Saccharomyces cerevisiae S288C: one gene and its partner. The gene in region 1 interacts genetically with each later gene. Each region holds a gene or a part of one and is shown in the gene's direction. Other genes may lie near its edges. The genes, in order: SMM1 and TRM82.

Region 1 (3,879 bases):
ACTTCATGTCAGTCTGCAAGTTACCGTGTCACCTTCACAGTTTTCTTTTTATTTGACTAAGTAAAAAAAGAAAAGAAGTTATTTTTACTAAGATTTTGAGCGGCATTTTTCCTAGTTACTTATCAATTTTCATACATGCAAGACATACTCAATTTTTTTTTTTTTTTTTCAGTTTTAAAATTAGTCCTGATCAAAAAGCCATCACGTGGATCCCCGAAAAAAAACGGATCCGGGTAACCAGAAGTATTTTTTTCAAGGGAATAAAAGTTACCCTACCAAAATAAAAAAATTCAAGTAGGGTAATAAAGTTCCACCCCCCATCAGGATTATCGTTCTCTGACATCACCCACTCTCTGCTCGCTCTCTGCTCGCTCTCTGCTTTCTTTCCCCACGCCGGAGTGATTAAGGCGGATAGGCCCACCTGAACACCTCGCTCAGAACATCAGCGAGAGTTCCAGCCCCTCTACCCCTTACCTCTCGCCGCCCCTCATTTCGGATCAAAAGCAAAAGAACAAAGGGCCTTCGCAGAAACGGAAGGTTTCGACCCCTCGGTGCCGTTTTAATTTCTTTTTCTGGCCAGTTAAGCTTTTTGACTTTCTCGAATCAGCCCAGTGCAAAACAGTACGCATACGAGCACACAAATGTATATATATGTGTATGTATATATGTATATAGGTATGTGTGTGTACATCCGAAGCGTAAACTAATGATCTGCAAGTTTCAGATTTTTTCTCGAAAAATATAACTAATAAACGTTCCATGTCGTCCACGGATATCAAGCCTTGTGCCGTGAACATCCCTGTTTCCGCTCACATCACCTTCCACTACAAGTCGATCGCGGACAGAAGCAGCAGCAGGAGCAGCAGCAGCAGCTCCTGCTCCTCTGCTACATCTAAAGCCTGCTCCCCCAGAGGCAGCTCCGTCGGCTTACCGCCTGCTTTATCAACTGACAATGAAATCGTCGAGACTGTACTTAATGTTTCCGCTCCCGTTGTAGCAGACCCTACGCGGCCCTCATTGTTCAAGAGTAACTACACCGCAGCCTCGTGCTTGACTTCTGACCCAACCTCGCCGTCACTACTGCCCTCTTCTAGGCGCAACTCTGTATTGCCGGCAAGCGACTTCCACCAATGCGCGCATCACAAAAACTTTCAAAGAAGGGCCAGTGAGCCACAACTGCCCTCCTTCGATAATCGCTCGTCGTCCGAGATGAAAAGGTCCGTCTCGTACGCCCAGCATAGCATGATGTTCCCCATCAGTGACCAACAGGAGCCGCAAACATCCGCGTCTCCTAACGACCACTCAGACCCGTCTTGTCCTTGCAACAGACATCACCACAGAAGAAACTCGGTCGCCGTCAAGTTTGACAAACCATTGTATGAGAGACTAGAGACGTAGTTATCCATTCGTCCATCCATCTGTCTATCGTCACACAGCATTTCCCATCCCTCCTCTATACATACATACATATACAGTTCTGCGTGGTCTACGCAGCCATGTATATATATATTTCCGTCGTTTTATATATTCATTACTAAAATCGACAATGCATTTTTTGCCGCTTTCCATTTCCTCTACTTTGCTCATCACTTCGCTCGAAGAAAAAATGAAAACCGTCTTGAAAAACTTTTGCTATTTCATCCATCCAAGCCACACCAAATAGCGCAGTCACACAGAGATCATGGTTACATATGCTGGAAAACTGGTTCTAGCTCCAATGGTAAGAGCCGGCGAACTGCCCACGAGACTGATGGCGCTGGCCCACGGTGCAGATCTCGTCTGGTCCCCAGAAATCATCGACAAAAAGCTAATTCAGTGCGTCAGGAAGGAAAACACTGCACTCCAAACTGTCGACTACGTCGTGCCGTCCAAGGTTCAAACGAGGCCGGAGACGCTCGTTTTCAGAACATATCCAAAACTAGAATCCTCTAAATTGATTTTCCAGATCGGGTCTGCATCCCCGGCTCTGGCCACCCAGGCTGCTTTGAAAGTGATCAACGACGTCAGCGGGATAGATATCAATGCAGGCTGCCCCAAACACTTCTCTATACACTCCGGCATGGGCTCTGCCCTCTTGCGCACCCCAGACACACTGTGTCTCATCTTGAAAGAACTGGTTAAGAACGTGGGTAACCCTCACAGCAAACCCATCAGTGTGAAAATAAGACTCTTGGACACCAAGCAAGACACTCTACAGCTCGTCAAACGTCTGTGTGCCACGGGCATCACAAATCTTACAGTTCACTGCAGGAAGACTGAAATGAGAAACAGAGAGCAGCCCATCACAGATTACATTGCGGAGATCTACGAGATATGCCAGGCAAATAACGTGTCGTTGATTGTGAACGGCGCTATCCGCGACCGCTCTCATTTTCATGATTTACAAGCGAATCATTGGAAAAACACTAACATTGGTGGTATGATTGCAGAGTGTGCTGAACGGGACCCTACAGTTTTTGATCACACTTCTAAGCCTTCAGAAGACGGTCCATCTTGGGTCGTTGCTTGTCGCGAGTTTATTCAGTGGGCAACGAAGTTTGACAACCACATCGGCAATACAAAATACATGTTAAGCAGAATTGTCCCCGGAAAATCAGTCTTTTTTCAGTACTTTGCCCGTTGCAAGAGCCCGGAAGAAGTTAGTTTCGTACTAAAGCAATTGAACGATGATGGAAGCGCTCAAACAGATCCTTCAGAGTACTTGGAAAACTGCAGAGCTCAAGAAAAAGCTTTGAAAAACGCCAACGCCATCGCCAAGCAAAAGAGGAAACAGACCGATCACATAGGCAGTGACACTAAAAAGCAAAAGGTTGTACCCCTTCCCACAGATATATAATATATTCTAAGTAAAAAGAACGGATTATGAAAGAAAACGCGCATAATATATATATGTATGTATTTTCTAATTTATATTAGCAACTAAATTAAATTACATCAATACTATTTTTTTTTTTTACTTTACAAGGTTTATTTCAAAGTCTTCAACAATTTTTCTTTATCATCGGTAGATAACATCTTGATAACTTCAGATAATCCATCAATAGCATTGTCATGGTCGCTTCTGATCTTTTTAGCTAAGTCTTGAGCGAATGACTCTAATTTCAAACCCTTTAGTTTATCGTCCAAAGTTTTGTAGTTTTCTTCAATCCATGTTGCGACTTGCCTATCATCTTCATGGTCCACTGAAGCAGGGTACCACGATCTAATTCTTGCGATCTTTTCTAATCTTGATGCTTCGCCTACCTGATGGCTCAACCTTTTAATCAAATATTCTTCGTTCAATCTTCTTCTCAATCTCCAGAAGAAGAAACGACGTGCCTCGGTCCATTCCAGTTCCTTAGAAATAACACCCTTGGCCACCATACGTGAAGACCTATCGTGCAAATCAGCAAATTGAAGACTGATTTGTCCGTAAATTGGCAATAGTTCTCTCTCACGATCAGCTAATTGCTTGGATATTTGCTGATGTACTTCTGGAGCCAAACTCTTGTTGGATAATTGAGATCTCAATTCTCTGTACTTGTCATCCAATCTGTTCATGGTGTCCAGCAATTTTTCTCTACGGAACTTGATACCAACCATACCTTGTGGTTCCAAAACACCAGCTCTAGCGTTGACGTCGGCATACATTTCCATTTGGTCAGCGTTGATAGTTGGATCGACAACAACCCATGAACCACCTCTTAGTTCACCGGTAGGTGGGATATAGATAATAATTGGTTGTTTGTAATCCACCAATGCGTCAACAATAAACGAACCATACTTCAAGACTTCGTTGAACATATCACGTTGACCACCAGAGAAACCTCTCCAGTTGGCCAAAATCATCATTGGCAATTGTTCACCGTTGTTAAAGTCATTGATAGCTTGAGCAGTCTT
Region 2 (3,655 bases), on another chromosome or scaffold:
CCGCTAATTTTCTTTCCGCGTTCTCTCCTAGGCATTCATCTACCAGTGTCTTATGCAAAATCAGCCTTCTTCTTTCTTCATCAAAATCTTTCAGGTGCGCTACGACACTCAGCAGATCGGTAGTATTCTTTACGTTCGATCTATCAACCAGCAGAGGGTTTTTAGCAATCAGTTCCTTGATTCTTCCTTGAATATATTCGTTGGCATCCATAATATGCTGATGTTTCAAATCAATCCAGTCAGGATCATACAAATCTACCAATTTTGAAACCTTTTCCTCTTGCTCACCAGCTTCATTCTCGGCAGAATAATGATATATATCTTTTTGTGTGTCCACATTAGCTACCAGGTCATAAGCCATTGCTTGATAGCTAAAATCATGTAATATTGGCGCAAAAGGGTCCAGTGTTCTATCGGTGATTATTAGAATGGAACGCGGTCTTTCAGTGTTTTGAGGAGGGAAATCTGGATTATTGCGAGCGTATGTATCTATCGCTATTTGGAAAGCGTTTGCAATAGACCTTGTTAAAGAATTTGCGTTGACTACGGCGTTTCCATTGCGGGCATCTTCCTCTTCCACAGGATTAGATACAGAATATCTAACAATCGGATATTCCCCCGTAATAACACACAAACTAACTAGTGAGCCTACAATCTTCCTCACGTTAGTAGGAATCAAAGCCTTACAGTTGTTGTTGAAAAAAACCTGTAATGAGTGTTCCATTTGTAAAGTTTCGAAGAATTGAGATTCTTTGACGAAAAACCCTAGTTCGATCGGCTTAAATGACTCCAAATTTTGAGCAATGTAACGTTTTGATTGAAAAAACTGAAATATAGGGTTTGTTAATCCTGGTAAAAATCTGATGTGACATCTTCTGTACTTAGGTGGTCTTACCATGAAGTCAGCATCGATACAATTGATGTTATATTTCGTTGGTTCCAATATGTAAATTGCCTCGATGGAGGATTGTCCTTTTCTTGTTGGGGAATCAATCAAATCAACAGATGTGACATTATTTAAAAGTTCTTGGGGTGTGAGGAAAAGATAACTCAATATTGTCTCCACAGTTTTATCGATAATAAGAAACTTCAAGTTATTTTTCGTCTCAATCTGATTCAAAACCCCTATCAAATAGTTCCTCTGTAATTCAATTAAATCAGACATCGTTCCGCCAAACCAAGCATGTGCACACTCTTCTACTTTGTCAGTGGATTCTAATTATTTTCAAGGTCTTACAAAGCAATGTCTTACTAGTTTCAATAGGGACTTAAACTGATCGTTTAAGCAAAAGAAAAACACCGTGCTGTGTGACCATCTACCAATAATTGCGAGAACATAAGACGACGCCGCCATTCACCTCTCTATCACTTACACCATGTTATAGGGATAAGTGTGTAGTCGATCGGCTATTCGATGATTTTTAAAGAGTGCCTGTAATAATAGCTGTATCGCAAGTAAGGAATACAAGATTACTGATATTTTGATCCAGGAGGATGGACATGTTAGATAGAAAAACTAAGAGGGCTACTACATCCGGTTTAGTATTCTGTTATTGGGAATGCTTTTCCCAAGACGCAAGCAAGAGGTGACACATAAACATAGTTTTCTTATTGTATCGTTACATATTCTTATTTTACGCTGCTGTCATTAAATATGGCACTTATCTCAGATACATTTCTTTTAATCAGCGAAAAAAATGGCGAGGTGAAAAAAATCGATGAGATGAAAAAATTTTTTACTAGTAAAGGCGTATTGATGATATATTAGCAGCTAAAGTATAGCAAGGTTTGTCAATTTGAAGCAGTCCGCGTGTTTTACAATGAGCGTCATTCATCCTTTGCAGAATTTACTCACCTCTCGTGATGGCTCATTAGTTTTCGCCATCATTAAGAATTGTATCTTAAGCTTCAAATATCAATCGCCAAATCATTGGGAATTTGCTGGAAAATGGTCTGATGATTTCGACAAAATTCAAGAATCGAGAAACACCACTGCTAAGGAGCAACAAGGACAATCCAGCGAAAACGAAAACGAGAACAAAAAATTGAAAAGTAATAAAGGCGATTCCATTAAAAGGACAGCAGCCAAGGTACCATCTCCAGGTCTTGGCGCCCCACCGATATATTCGTACATAAGAAATCTGAGATTAACTTCGGATGAATCAAGACTAATTGCGTGCGCAGATTCTGACAAGTCCCTCCTAGTTTTCGATGTCGACAAAACTTCCAAAAATGTCTTAAAGTTGAGAAAAAGGTTCTGCTTCTCAAAGAGACCGAATGCTATTTCTATAGCCGAAGATGATACTACAGTCATAATAGCTGACAAATTTGGTGATGTATATTCTATTGATATTAATTCTATCCCGGAAGAAAAGTTTACTCAAGAACCTATTCTCGGTCATGTCTCTATGTTGACTGATGTACACTTGATTAAAGACTCTGACGGTCATCAATTCATAATTACAAGTGATAGAGATGAGCATATTAAAATTTCGCATTATCCCCAATGTTTCATTGTGGACAAATGGCTCTTTGGTCATAAGCATTTTGTTTCTTCCATATGCTGTGGCAAAGACTATTTATTATTAAGTGCAGGTGGTGACGATAAAATCTTCGCTTGGGATTGGAAAACTGGTAAGAACTTGTCTACCTTCGATTATAATAGTTTGATTAAACCTTATTTGAATGATCAGCATTTAGCACCACCAAGATTTCAAAATGAAAATAATGATATTATTGAATTTGCAGTTAGTAAAATTATAAAGTCAAAGAACCTACCGTTTGTTGCGTTTTTCGTCGAAGCTACAAAATGCATAATAATTCTGGAAATGTCCGAAAAACAAAAAGGGGATCTTGCACTAAAGCAAATTATAACTTTTCCATATAATGTTATCTCATTATCCGCCCATAATGATGAATTCCAAGTCACCCTAGATAATAAGGAATCATCTGGTGTGCAAAAAAATTTTGCCAAATTCATTGAATATAACTTAAATGAGAATAGTTTTGTCGTGAATAATGAAAAATCAAACGAATTTGACAGTGCCATCATACAATCAGTACAAGGGGATTCTAACTTGGTGACCAAGAAAGAAGAAATTTACCCGTTATACAATGTTTCCTCGTTAAGAAAACATGGAGAACATTACTCGTGAAATAAAAAGGTAGTAAGTACATCTTTATAACTAATATAAAAAAAGATACGTACCGATTTGTGTTAATAATCATTGTTAGTACATCTTTATACCTCTGTTTCTAGCTGAAGGCGGCGAATTGAATAGCAGTTCTTTTTAAATTGGCAGATACAATAGGATTAATCTCATTGATACATTTTTGTAGTCTATTTGTGTCGTTCTGGAAACAGTTTTGTAAGCACGCCCTTAATGTGGCCTCGGTGTCCTTTTCAAGTAAAGGACCCATAACCTTCTGAAAGAATTCCAAATCCACTATAATTTGTAATGAGCCATCATTAGAAAGATTACCAACATAAGGCTTAAATGCCTCAAAGAGGTATCTGGCTATAAAAATCTGCGTTTCAATTAAAATCTTATGGATGAGCTGAGGCCCAATTCTAAAGCACTCACTGTGAACCACGATCAGAATCATTAACGCTTCTATAATATAGTCACCAACCCTGAATGAATTTGATGTATAC

What was found.
Region 2: mutations in SMM1 (region 1) and TRM82 impair growth when combined (synthetic growth defect), as found in Saccharomyces cerevisiae (one study listed by BioGRID).

The regions. Positions count from the first base shown.
Region 1 is NC_001146.8:651,706-655,584, forward strand, and holds SMM1 (tRNA-dihydrouridine(20) synthase (NAD(+))), read left to right. Parts: upstream 1-1,681; coding exon 1,682-2,836; downstream 2,837-3,879. Other genes in the region: PHO91 (Pho91p), read right to left, coding at 1-7; YNR014W (uncharacterized protein), read left to right, coding at 760-1,398; acetyl-CoA carboxylase ACC1, read right to left, coding at 2,968-3,879. UniProt on the Saccharomyces cerevisiae protein: Catalyzes the NADPH-dependent synthesis of dihydrouridine, a modified base found in the D-loop of most tRNAs. Specifically modifies U20 in cytoplasmic tRNAs. Also able to mediate dihydrouridylation of some mRNAs, thereby affecting their translation.
Region 2 is NC_001136.10:783,051-786,705, forward strand, and holds TRM82 (Trm82p), read left to right. Parts: upstream 1-1,820; coding exon 1,821-3,155; downstream 3,156-3,655. Other genes in the region: SEC1 (Sec1p), read right to left, coding at 1-1,165; exocyst subunit SEC5, read right to left, coding at 3,256-3,655. UniProt on the Saccharomyces cerevisiae protein: Required for the formation of N(7)-methylguanine at position 46 (m7G46) in tRNA, a modification required to maintain stability of tRNAs; its absence resulting in tRNA decay.